Linked DNA regions of Oryctolagus cuniculus. The protein of the gene in region 2 purifies or fractionates together with the protein of the main gene of each other region. This does not show direct contact. Links are inferred from orthologs where the notes say so. Each region holds a gene or a part of one and is shown on either strand. Other genes may lie near its edges.

Region 1 (4,031 bases), on a different chromosome or scaffold from region 2:
CCGATGGCAGGAGCCAGGTGCTTCTCCTGGTCTCCCATGGGGTGCAGGGCCCAAGCACTTGGGCCATCCTCCACTGCACTCCCTGGCCACAGCAGAGAGCTGGCCTGGAAGAGGGGCAACCGGGACAGAATCCGGCACCCCGACCGGGACTAGAACCCGGTGTGCCGGCGCTGCAAGGTGGAGGATTTGCCTAGTGAGCCGCGGTGCCGGCTCAAAATCGTATTTATTAATAAGACAGAAAAATATCAGAGCTTGTAGTCCTCCTATGTAGTTATTACTTGAATTCCAGTCAAAAGCAGGGACAGGACATCTAGGTATTCTGTGTTGCCCTAACACGGGTAAATGAAAACCTTCCCTTGAATTTCTGCAGGGAAAAACTCCCAGACCCCCACGTTCCCCCAGGGCCGCCTTTGAGGACACTCGGGTCTGGGGAGGCCACGTCAGGCTGTCTTGCAAGGAGCACAGGAGCCACTCCACGCAGTTTGCAAGGATTAGAGCTTGTCCTAGTTTTGCTTGATTGTTGTACTTCTTGCATGCTAAAGAGCTAAAAAATGGGAGGAAGAAAATACAACAGAAGGCACCATTCCAGTACCAAACTGAAAAGAAACATAAAAACAAGAGAGCAGCATGTTTTTAACAGCTTGCGTGGAAAAAATATTGACTGGGGAGTTTGGACAGCACTGTTCATTTTCTCTCGCCGCCCGCGTTATTTGTCTTACAGAGTAGGAGCCAGATACAACTCTGGCGAGCAGGCTCAAGAAGAGGTGGAGGGGTTCTGTGGAAGCTTGATCCTGAGTGCAGAGATGAAGCCTGGAGACCCAGTGGCTCAGGGCCAGGATGAAGGCAGGGGAGGCGCTAAAACCTTCTTCCTCCTGGCCTCGGACACCCTTTTTGGCCGGCCTGAGTCCTAATAGAGCACAACACTGATCGCTCACGGAGGTACCTGCCTCCTTCAGACCACAACGAGCAGGATGAATCCCTGCCCCTGTTTCTTTCGGCTGAGGAAAGGACACTGGGCTTCCGTTCGCTTTCACAGCCCACCTTTCTTCTGGAGTTCGGACCTCCGCCTCCTGCAATGGGGGTCGGGCGGGAGCCTCCATCGGCGGGGCAGAGGCTCGGTGCTCCCACCTCCGCGGAGCCCGCGCCGAGGCCTCAGCCCCGCCCGCCCGGGCGCGGGGCGGGGCTCGGGGCGTGGCGCGGGGCGTGGCGCGGGCGCGGGGCGGGGCGCGGGGCGGGGGCTGGCGGCGGCGACCATCCGGAGGAGAAAGAACATGGCGGGCGCGGCGGGGCCCGGTACCGGCCCGGGGGCTGCGGGCGGAGATGGAGACGATTCGCTATATCCGATCGCGGTTTTAATCGACGAACTCCGCAACGAGGACGTGCAGGTACCGGACTGGGGCGGGGAGAGCCGTGGCGGGTTGGTCCGGCGTCGCTCAGGGTAGGGAAGGGGGAAGCCCGGAGCCGCTGTGAGGGAGGCCGGGAGGTTGAAAGAGCCGGACGCGGAGCAGAAACTCGAAGGGGAAGCTGGAAAGACTCGCGAGGGGCTGTGGCGCCGAGCCCCGGCCCACCGCGGGGCCTCTCCAGCACCCCTCCGTCGGGCTTCCGACCGTCCCGGGCTGTTGTCGGAAAGCCGGCTTCCCGCCTGGGCGCCCCGTTGCGGGCCCAGCGTGCGAGCCCTCGGGAGGGGCGCAGGGCCGGGCCGCGTGGGAGCTGGGCGGCCTGCGGGTCGCAGGATGCCAGAGGGCCCTTTGAGGTGCAGCCCAGCCTCTTCCCCTGGGCCTGGAAACTGGCTGGGCCTGTTGGGTAGAAAGCGGGTGGCCTGGCTGAGGAACCTAAGTGAGGCGGTGTGTCTGCTTCGGTGTAGGTTGTATTCAGCCGTCTCACCTGCTTCGTCGCTGCCGGAGTTCTGGCTTTTTAACATTGTCCCGCTTGCTGAGTATTTTCTTTCATTCCTTTCTCTTCGGGCCCTTGTAGAGAGTTTGGCCTAGGAATCCTCCCTCTGGCTAATAAGGCTGTGTTACATTACTGTTCCTTACCAATGAAGTGTAAATGAAAGATTATCCTTATTCCTAGACCTGTTAGTTAGTTCACCTGTTTGCTCCTGTTGCCTTTTGGTCTACATTGCAATCATTTTTTATTTTGTTCTTTCCATTTTCTCCTGTAAAGCTCCGACTCAACAGTATTAAGAAGTTATCAACAATTGCTCTAGCACTTGGAGTAGAAAGGACAAGAACTGAACTGCTGCCATTCCTTACAGGTGTGTGAGTCTGTGTTTCAAGAAAGGCACGGACATTTCCATTTACCAATGGCTTTCAGAGCTTTGGCTGTTTTTCAGAGTTTGTTGTCCACAGTATCAAAAAGCACCAAATTGAGGCTGGTATTTTCTGTGCAAAAGAAATTCAACAACACATATGGTAATGTTGTGGCCAGATACGTACAAACATTAACTGTGTATAGCTAATGGGGAAGTCACTGATATGAAGGTATGAATTTCTAGTTCATTCTGTAAATCAGATCCAGGAAAACTGTTCATTGAGGAGAAAATACTGTTAGGATTGGGACTGGATGTTTTTACTATTTACATATTGAATCTATTGCTAGTTTTATGTGAGTGTCCAGCTCTTGGCCAGTTACCTTGTTGGTGAGTACCTGGTTGTTGTCCTTTTCAGATACAATTTATGATGAAGATGAGGTACTGTTAGCTCTTGCTGAGCAGTTGGGAAATTTCACTGGCCTGGTGGGAGGTCCAGACTTTGCCCACTGTCTGCTGGTGAGTATTTCTATGCTGCCTACCCTCCTTCTAGAACCTTTGCAGTATAAATGATACATTGTTTGGTGATAGGCATAACAGCAGTATATTTTAGGCAGCTCATTTTATGGATAGATGCTCATAGTGTTAGCCATTGAGAGAATATATAATGTAAGCACTTTGGATTCAACCCTGTCTTATTATTTTCTATGAATAGAAGTTCTTTATTTTTCTGCCTCCATAGACTTACTAATTTAAAGAGAAAAAAGATTTGGTTATTTTTATGGGTCCCCTCCCCCCCAGTAAAATTGGAAGTCTTGTTTTTCATCCAGCAATATTTTGTCTTTATAGTGTAACTTTTGCTTCTGACTTACACTGTGATTTTGGTCAGTTGACATTTATTGAGGGCCTGCTATATGAGGCATATTGTAAGTTACAATGTTAATGTCAAAGAAAGCCAAACAAATGTAATGAGATCTTTGTTTTTGGTCACAAATATTAGGGTACAATCTTCAATGGGGAAACATAAGCACATTTAAGATACCCAAATAAGAGAGGAGAAAAGAATTAAGGTGATTAGGGGAGACTTCTTAACAGTTGATGTCTGAACTGTTTTAAGAAATGATTGGGTTACAAAGGGAGTAGGGCAGCGTGTGCAGTGGTTTAAACCACCAGCTGTGATATCAGCTAGGATCCCATATGAGCAAGTGCTGTTTCAAGTCCCATCCAGCTCCTTGCTAGTGTGCCTGGCAAAGCAGTGAATGATGGCCCAAGCACTTGAACCCCTGCTGCTCACATCGAAGACCCTGAGGGAGATCCAGGCTCCTGGCTTCTGCCTGACCCAGCCCCAGCCATTGGGAGAGAGTGAACCAGCAGGTGTAAGATCTAGATCTCCACCTCGATCTCTGTCTACCTTTTGAATAAATAAAATAAGTCTTAAAAAGACTAGGATTTCAACAGTTGGACAAGACAGATATGATATATGATACATGTTTCAGGACTTTACTGTCTGATGCTTACTCTTTCTGTCTACTTCTGAACTTTATGGAACCCCACAAGTTGACAGATATGGATTTAGATATATACTGTACCTAGTTATCACTGAAAGTGTGTATCTTTCTGTAATGTTCCTATTTAGATGTCAAACAGGTATTTGAATTTTTTAAGATATATTTATTTGAAAGGCAGAGTTACATAGAAGAGAGAAAGACTTAGAGAGACAGAGATCTTCTACCTGCTGGTTCACTCCCCAAATGATTGCAATGGCTGGAGCTGGGCTGAT
Region 2 (4,181 bases):
TTTTTACCTAGTGGTCAGCAGAAACTCACATCGCACGTTAAAGAGCTCTCAATGAGATTCAAAAAACACACTCTGGCACCCGCCCATCCTAAGATAGTTTGTTACTCCTAAAAAAAAAAAATTGCCTGAAATTCTGGCTACCACTGAAGTGGTGACACTGAGCTCCTATTTTGCTAGATTTCAAACCTGAACAATGAAATCAGGCTTTCTTGCTATGGTTTTCGGGGGACAGGGGGATGGTTTCCAATGGAGGAGGAGCAGAGGTCCAGGGGCGATCCTCAGCCCTCCCCTCCATGTCTACAAAATAACAAAAAATCTTTTTTTTTTTTTTTTTTTTTGGCCGATCTCCGGAAGCTCGTGCGTTCTCCCGCCCGGCTGGGCTGTCCGGGAAAAAACAAAACTTCAGGGGCACACTGCACAGCAACGCGAGGCTGGAACCCGCATCGCGCCGCCACCCTTTACCGACGTGCTCACGGACATGACAAGTTGGCTCGCGATGGGGGTTTCACTTTTTTTTTTTCCAAGAGCTAGAAACATAGTCACCTACGGAGGAAAAACTTGGAAGGCGTTCGCGACCATCGAAAATCCAACGCCTCCCCCCACTTCACCCCCCAAAAAAGGGGACCGCTAGGCCAAGCAGCCACAAAGCACCAACAGCCAGGTCCACGGCGCGGAACTCCTCTAAATCCCACCAAGTCGCCAAGTGGAACTCCAGCGCCGGGCCAGGGGCCTGCGCCAGGCCGGGGGCCCGCACCTTCCCGCACCGCGCCCTGTCCGCGCGCCGGCGCCCCTCCCTCCGCCCGCCGCCCGAGGAGCCGAGCCCCGCGCGGGCCCGGGGGGCCTCCACCGCCCCCGCGCCGCCCGGGGCCTCCAAGGGCACGTCTTCCCCTCCCGTCTCCCCCGGCGCGGGGCCGCCGCAGGCCCTGCACTGCTCAGGACTTGGGGGCCAGGCGCCGGTGCCCCACATCCGCACCCAGGCCTCGGTGCACCCCCCACCCCGCGCGCCCCGCCACACATCCACACCCGGCCGCCGCGGCCCGCGAGCAGCCCCGGGAGTAGGGCCCGAACCCCGGCCGACGCGACCCCGGAAGGGAGAGCCTGGGGGGGGGGGGCCCTGTTTACACCGCCAAGTTGCCCGCTTCCGCCCCAGCCCCGCATCCCCAGTCCCTGAGGCCCGCGGCTGCCTACCTGCATGCCGGGCAGGCCCGACTGCACCGGGGAGTGAGCCATGGCGCGCAGGACGTCCACTTCCTGGGACGGGACGGCCGGGCCGCGGCGATCCGCGCGGGCGACCAGGCCCGCGGGCCGCGCCGGATCCCGAGGCCACCCCAGCCCCGGCGGGTCCCGGCAGCCGGCGGAGCTCAGCGACGGGCGCCGGGCCGCGTCTCCATGCACGGCGCCCACACGGGGCGCGGGGGGCCGAGCGCGAGCCGCCGCCGCTGCCGCCGCTGCTTCTCGGCGGGAGCCGGGCGGCCTGGGCCCGCACGTACTCGCCGCCTGGACCCGGAGTGGGCGCGCACCACCGGCGGAGCCCGCGAGCGCCGAGAGCGCCCCGCCCCGGCCCGGCCCCCGCGCCCGCCCCCGCGGCCCGGCCGGGGACCCCGCCCCGCGCTTCCGGGAGGCGGAGGAGGGGAGAGGGAGGAAGAGGAGGAGGCCCGGCGGCCGCCCGGGCGCCCTAGGCCGCAGGCGCCGCGCCGCCGCCTGCCGGCCGGGCCTGCATCCCAGCGGCTCCCGCGCGCGCTCCCACGCCCCCCGGGGGGCGGTGCCGCGCCGCGAGGGCGTCCGCCGGGGCGCGAGCGGGTCGGAGCCCCGCGAGCCGGCTCGGGCGCTGAGGCGATCCCGGGCCGCCCGGCCGCCGCTGCACTGTGCCCGCGCCCCGGGCGGCCTTCCTAGACGGGGGCTGGGCCCGGGGCTGCTCCCGCAGGCCGCGGCGGAGCTTCTGCGGCGTGTGAGGAAGTTTCCGACCGCCCGGAGGCCGGGGCGGCGACTGTATGCCGGGCGTTTGCTGACTGAACGCGGTGCCGGCAGCGCGGCTGCGAGGAGCGAGCGGGGAGGGCCTGCGGGCCGCCCGCCGAGCCGGAGGAAGCGGCGTGCGGACTTTGCCCCGCGCCTCTCCGGGCCGGGAGTGCCCGTTCTGCCCGCTGGCTGTGCGAGGTGAGGCGGCCACAGCGAGCCCCCAGAGGCCGCAGGACGCGGTAAGCAGAGTCCGAGGTGTCGCAGCACCGCACCCCTGCTTGTGCTGGGAGCCCCGGGAGACCTCAGGCCGCCTTCCTGGCTGTCACAGGGACACTGCTCACTTACAGAGAAGCCGGGGCGGTGACTCTGGGGAGGATGTGACAAATACAAGGCAGAAAAGCAGCCGCTTACGAGCTTACCTAAATTCTGTACCGCTAAGAAACGTACCTCGGGAGAAGAGCCAAACCAGAAGGAACGTGCACTCTTCGAGGGCCCGTCGTGTTCAGCCTGGGAATTCCACCCAAAGTGACACAGCCTGAGGAAATGACTAGAACGTATCGAAAGCTGCAGCGAAGTGGCATTTAGAATCCTGGGGAATCTACCGTGGAAAACCCTAACAGATGCAGTAAACAGTGTTTTCGTTACGTACTCACTGAAGAAAACGTAGGAACCAAAACAATGCACAGGCACTTCAGAAAGTTCATGAAAAATGGAATTAAGGGGTATTTGTATGTTGCATAAGGTTTTGAAATCCATGCTGGTTTTTCATAATACACATTGTAAACTTTTTAAAAGGCCCTTTGTGTAGTTTGATTTCAAGCTACTGCATATAAATTAATTTTAGAAACGTGTGTGTGTGTGTGTGTGTATTAGTAGAGAAAAACCTAGAAGTATATGCACCAAAATTTAGCTGTCTGGAATTAAAGATGATTTTTCTGGTCACTAATCAGAGCCAGAGGAGACCATCGTGCTGAGATACAAATGGACAGTAACATCAGAGCACTGATCTGAAGCAATACCATGGGAAATGCTCAGAAATTGTGAGGATGTGAAATGAGGGGTAGAAGACACTGGACCATAATATTCCAGATATAAAAAATAATCAGAATAATATTTGTATACCAGGGCTAGTGAGACTAGGAACATACGGGTTCCCAGTGGATGTGGCTTATCTGGACATGGTCTGAGACTTGCATCCTTTAGCTGATCTATCTCCTGTTCTCTGTTTATCTCAGTTTTTCTTCTTTGACCATTGAGTTCCATTCTCACTGAACAAGAAGAATGCTCATAGAAGTAACAAGTTCTTCTCAGTCCTATGCAGGCATCAACCAGTGTTTACAGAACTGTAGGTCTCTGGCTGCTTTGTCTTCCCAGAACACTGATGATTGACAAGGCCTGAGTCAGGAACAGTTCTGTGCGGTTTTGCATTCGATCATTACACTTTATTTTTTTTTCCAAAAGACACCCTTTATTCATTGAGTACACATTTTATAAGCACAACTTTAGGAATATACTGATTCTTCCCACCATCCCACCCTCCCCCCCCCCCCCGACTCCCATTACACTTTTTTGTGCACTTGTTGCATTCAGACATCAGTTCAGCATAGGGCATCTAAACAGGACTAGATCCCCAGGTGCTTGTGATCCCATCCTGGAAATCTAGTCTCACTATCCTAACTTTGGAAGTTTACAGTACCATAATTGATGGCACGTAGAGTGACAACAGGGTCACTTCCAGGGCCGGCGCTGTAGGAAGCAGTAAAGCTGGTTTGGGTCCCGGCTGCTCCACTTCCAATCTAGGTCTCTGCTATGCTATGGCCTGGGAAAGCAGTAGAGGATGGCCCAAGTCCTTGGGCCCCTGCACCCACGTGGGAGATCCAGAGGAAACTCCTGGCTTTGGATGGGCCCAGCTCCTGCCATTGCAGCCACTTAGGGAGTAAACCAGCAGATGGAAGTCTTCACTTGCTTGCCCTCTCTGCCTCTGCCTCTCTGTAACTCTGCCTTTCAAATAAATAAATAAATCTTTAAAAAAAAAAAATCACTTCTACCAAGGAAAGAAAAGGACCATCCTCTCACACTTTTCCTCTCATCACTCTCCCTCCACCCCTAATAAATAATTACAACAGATCATTTACTACTGTAATTCCAAAAAGAATTTGAGGGTCTCCATAGAGATTATATGTTCTCTTGTCTCCATGGAGATACTAACCTATTGTTTTCATCCC
Region 3 (3,946 bases), about 56 Mb from region 2:
GGTTCCCATGGTGCAGATTAGCAGGAAGCCAGATCAGAAGCAGAGTAACTAGGATTCAAAGCAAGCACTCCAGTACTGGATGCTGGCATCCCAAATGGCAACATAACTGCAGCACTAAACACTTGCCCCCTCCACCCTGCCTTTTTTTTTTTTTTTTTTTCTTTTGGAGTTTTTTTTTTTCTTTTATGATCAATTCCAAACACAGTACAGGGAAGATGGAATGAATACGAAAAAATATCATTTTATTTCCCCATTAAACACTAAGTCATATTATTCAAAATGTGTTTCAAAATCCTTAGCCAGATAACCAATTCCAGTCACTATTTTAGTTCTAATGTTCACCAAGAAAATAGTCAAGTAACAGAAAGCCATTATGAGAAACCATCAAGAGAGAAGAGCTACATTGCTATCTATAATTTAACTTAGTAGGTTATTCTCTCAATATTCAGCAAGTTTGCTTAAAAATTACTATTCCATTAGTTTATAGTGACATTAAAAAAAAAAAACGTATAATTTCAAACTCAACATTCCTTTCACCGTGAACATAAAACTTCTAAAAGATAGCTGTGAGTTGGGGTACAATAAGGACTGTGGCTGCTGGGACAGTACTGTTCAAAGCCAAAACGATTGGCAGCCTTGGAAAGGCATAAACTATATACACACACTCTCAGTATGCTACTATTTCTCATATTTTTTTCTTTGCATACTTGTCTCATAATATGGTATAAATAATTTCTTTGAAGACAATCAAGATGAATACATTTTCATCTTCATTTCAAAATAACTATTTTAAATGAAAAATTTTCTCACATTTGTTAAATATGTCTTAGAGATGAGTTTAAGTATTTTCTTCACTACATGTATAATTTTTCTACCCTATCTTAGTGCCTCATTACAATCAATTTGGCAATAAGACCTCTCTAGTACTCCATGAAAAACTGCATTCAATAGATTATAAGATCGTTACATCTGCACCCAAATTCTTATATGCTACAACAAAGTCTAAAAAATGTATGGCCATTCATCAACACCCTTGCATCAATTATTGCAAATAACCTCACATATGTATTTAATTCAAATTTTGTGGAGAAAGGGTACAAAATAAATACTACAATATTTCTTTAACTCTAATGCTGCCTAGAGTAAGATGAAAAGATTAATATTACTGAGAGGAAGAATCAAATGGCTTTAAGGTCTGTCTTCCAAGTAGTTAGAAAATTTTCACAAAACAAAGAGCCTATGCCAACACATCTTTCTTGTAGTGTAATATAATTGCTAATATGAGGTAAATCTGTAAGCAATTAATACAAACATGAGTATAAACAGGTATAAGTCACCACTAAGTCACAGTCTGGTGAAAGACTTCTCAGCTAAAGTATCTGGGGACAGGATTATGGGAAGTGAGAAGGGGGTGAACAGTTTTCCAGTGGGAATACCTTTTATGTGCCTTATCATTAGCATCAACTTATATGTAACAGTCCACTGCTGTAAAAAGGTATATCCTTTCCAAGTATGCTGGCCTAGAATATACTTTATATAGCATAGTAAGATTATATAAGAATTACTAATGCTTCATTTGCATTTATATTTGGATATACACATAATCATAAATGCATATCAAAAACTATAAACAGAATTTTAAAGTACTTTTATCTCATTTTGGAAAAGTTTACAGTTTATGTTCTATAGAATTTTCTATAATATCTAAATTCAGGGACAAAATGAAAGGAAAACATTACTATCTCTTTAGTAAATGGTTTGTGCAAGACCTCAAGCTTACTCATCTTTTTATATATGGGTTTATTTGATGAGGATTGTAATCCAATGATTGTTTAGCAGCAATTTTACCAAACTGTAAATTCTTTTATTAACAGGCATTATAAACAGATAATACTAATCTTATTTAAAAAACCATGAGTGCCACACCGGTGAATATACAGCTTATGAATAACTTAAAAAGTATTTCCCCTTTTAAAAGGCAACACACAGCATACAAAAACCTAATCTAAACAAAGAAGCTATAATATGAATACATGATTGATGTGTCTAAAATGATATATACAGTACATAATGAACGTTAATTATGTGATCAGTACATTTTTCTGTACGATTCCCTTCATGCTTCACTTTCTCCAGAAACTGAATTCTGAACTTCCTCTTCTAAAATTGGTACAATCAGGTTATCCTTGGACATCAAATTGTATTTCATCACAAATTTAGTAAACCGATGACACAAAAAGGTTTCATTTTCATATTCATCAAATATCTGCCGGTGATGAAAATAAGCATGCGAAAATATTCTATAAATCCTACGGCATACTGATCCTAGTTTTGCTACAGATGATTCCTTTATGCTAACCCTGCTAGGAAAATATTTATTGCTATTCAGAAGACATGCAGCACCATCAAGCGTGTGTCTAGTATAGTCTATAGCAGGACACTCTTTTGGAGTTTTATGAGCTGCACACAGAAAAATCCACTGTTCAGTTGCTGTCATTTGAGTACAAGTATCTGGATGGCATTCACTCTGAAGTTTGACAGCAAGTCCATTTAGCTCAAGACAGAATTGCCTTAAATGTTCATACTTCCATACACCTTCATCTTGGCCTTCAGGTGGTTCAAGAATTTTATCAATATTGGAGCAATCTGCTCTTATGTTCTGCTGAATATACTGCTGAACAGCAAGTGTACTGTCCATTTCATCAAAGGATTCATCAGGCCAATTATAGAAATCCTGCGCCTTGGTGCCCGGCCTGTTCCGCCTCAACACTGCCGTCCCCTCCGCCATGACCATAGTGCCAGAATCTCCACCCTGCCTTTTAAGAAAATTTCTATTCATCTGTGAGTTTTTGAACTCCTGTGACCATGCATCACTCTGGACTTATGTTGAGAACTGACCCCAGGGAGGCACGCATGGGTGCAGAGCAACCTGGTAGGAGATATGATGGTGCTTGGCTGCCACAGGAATGCTGTAGTCATACCATTAGAATCTGGATACACACAGAGGAAGTGAGGGAGGGATGCAGGAGGGGAGGGAGAGAGGAAGACAAAAAAGAATCTGGATATTCTTGCTAAGGTAGAGCCACCAGGAGGAATGGTTGCCGAGTGAGAAACAAATGAAAATTATATATATATGTGTGTGTGTGTGTGTGTGTATTATATATATAAAAGTGAGAACAGTAAATGTGTTTTTAAAAATTTTATTTTTTAATTTTGATTTTCAATTAGTTATAAGCAGTCAATGTAACATGTAGATACAATTCTATGAACATAGTGATATTGCCTTCCTCCTTCCCTCCCTTTCCCTCTCTCTCTTGCTCCAAAATCTCTGAAATATCCCAAGAAATCCTAAAGAACACTAGCCTTTGACCATTAGTTCTGATGTTCCCTGTCTTCATGATGCAGTTTATTTTATTTCCTTGAAAAGTAGAGTTGCAGAAAGAGAGAGAGGGAGAGATGGGAGAGAAAGAGATCTCCCATCTACTAGTTCACTCCCCAGATGGGTGCAAGGCTGGTGCTGGGCCAGGCTGAAGTCAAGAGCCAGGAACTCGGTCTCCCTCATGAGTGCAGGGACTCAAGCACTTGGGCCATTCTCCACTGCTTTCCCAGGCACACTAGCAGGGATCTGGGTCAGAAGTGGAGAAGCCAGGACTCCAATCAGTGCCATAATGGGATGCCGGCATTGCACGTGGTGGCTTAACCTGCTATGCCACAACGCCAGCCCCATGATGGCAATTCTTACCAGTGTCCTTGGCCATGGCTGTTAGTACTGGCATGTCAGCTCTTTCTCTCTGGTAATTACATTGGCAGGACTCGGTCTTCCTGTATTTTCTCTTGTGTGAAGCCTGAGACTACCCTTTCAGTGAGCTTCAAAATTTGCATGTTGGCTGCAAAGAGAAAAGCCATTTACTGCTTCCCTGAGAAGTTGGCTGGCTTTTTGCAATAA

The links.
Region 1: the proteins of STK24 (region 2) and PPP2R1B purify together in Homo sapiens (affinity purification with mass spectrometry; 3 studies listed by BioGRID and IntAct, with this or other methods). This does not show direct contact. The link is inferred for Oryctolagus cuniculus from reciprocal best matches to the Homo sapiens genes STK24 and PPP2R1B.
Region 3: the proteins of STK24 (region 2) and MOB-like protein phocein purify together in Homo sapiens (affinity purification with mass spectrometry; 4 studies listed by BioGRID and IntAct, with this or other methods). This does not show direct contact. The link is inferred for Oryctolagus cuniculus from reciprocal best matches to the Homo sapiens genes STK24 and MOB4.

What each region holds. Positions count from the first base shown.
Region 1 is NC_091432.1:103,722,081-103,726,111, reverse strand, and holds the start of PPP2R1B (serine/threonine-protein phosphatase 2A 65 kDa regulatory subunit A beta isoform), read left to right. Parts: upstream 1-1,227; 5' UTR 1,228-1,271; coding exon 1,272-1,385; intron 1,386-2,166; coding exon 2,167-2,257; intron 2,258-2,669; coding exon 2,670-2,770; intron 2,771-4,031. Other genes in the region: alpha-1,2-mannosyltransferase ALG9, read left to right, coding at 722-911. UniProt on the Homo sapiens protein: The PR65 subunit of protein phosphatase 2A serves as a scaffolding molecule to coordinate the assembly of the catalytic subunit and a variable regulatory B subunit.
Region 2 is NC_091440.1:13,996,572-14,000,752, reverse strand, and holds the start of STK24 (serine/threonine-protein kinase 24), read right to left. Parts: upstream 2,803-4,181; 5' UTR 2,713-2,802; coding exon 2,404-2,712; intron 1,743-2,403; exon of another isoform or gene 1,231-1,742; coding exon of another isoform or gene 1,189-1,230; intron 1-1,188. UniProt on the Homo sapiens protein: Serine/threonine-protein kinase that acts on both serine and threonine residues and promotes apoptosis in response to stress stimuli and caspase activation.
Region 3 is NC_091440.1:69,971,544-69,975,489, forward strand, and holds MOB-like protein phocein, read right to left. Parts: upstream 2,805-3,946; 5' UTR 2,795-2,804; coding exon 2,117-2,794; 3' UTR 222-2,116; downstream 1-221.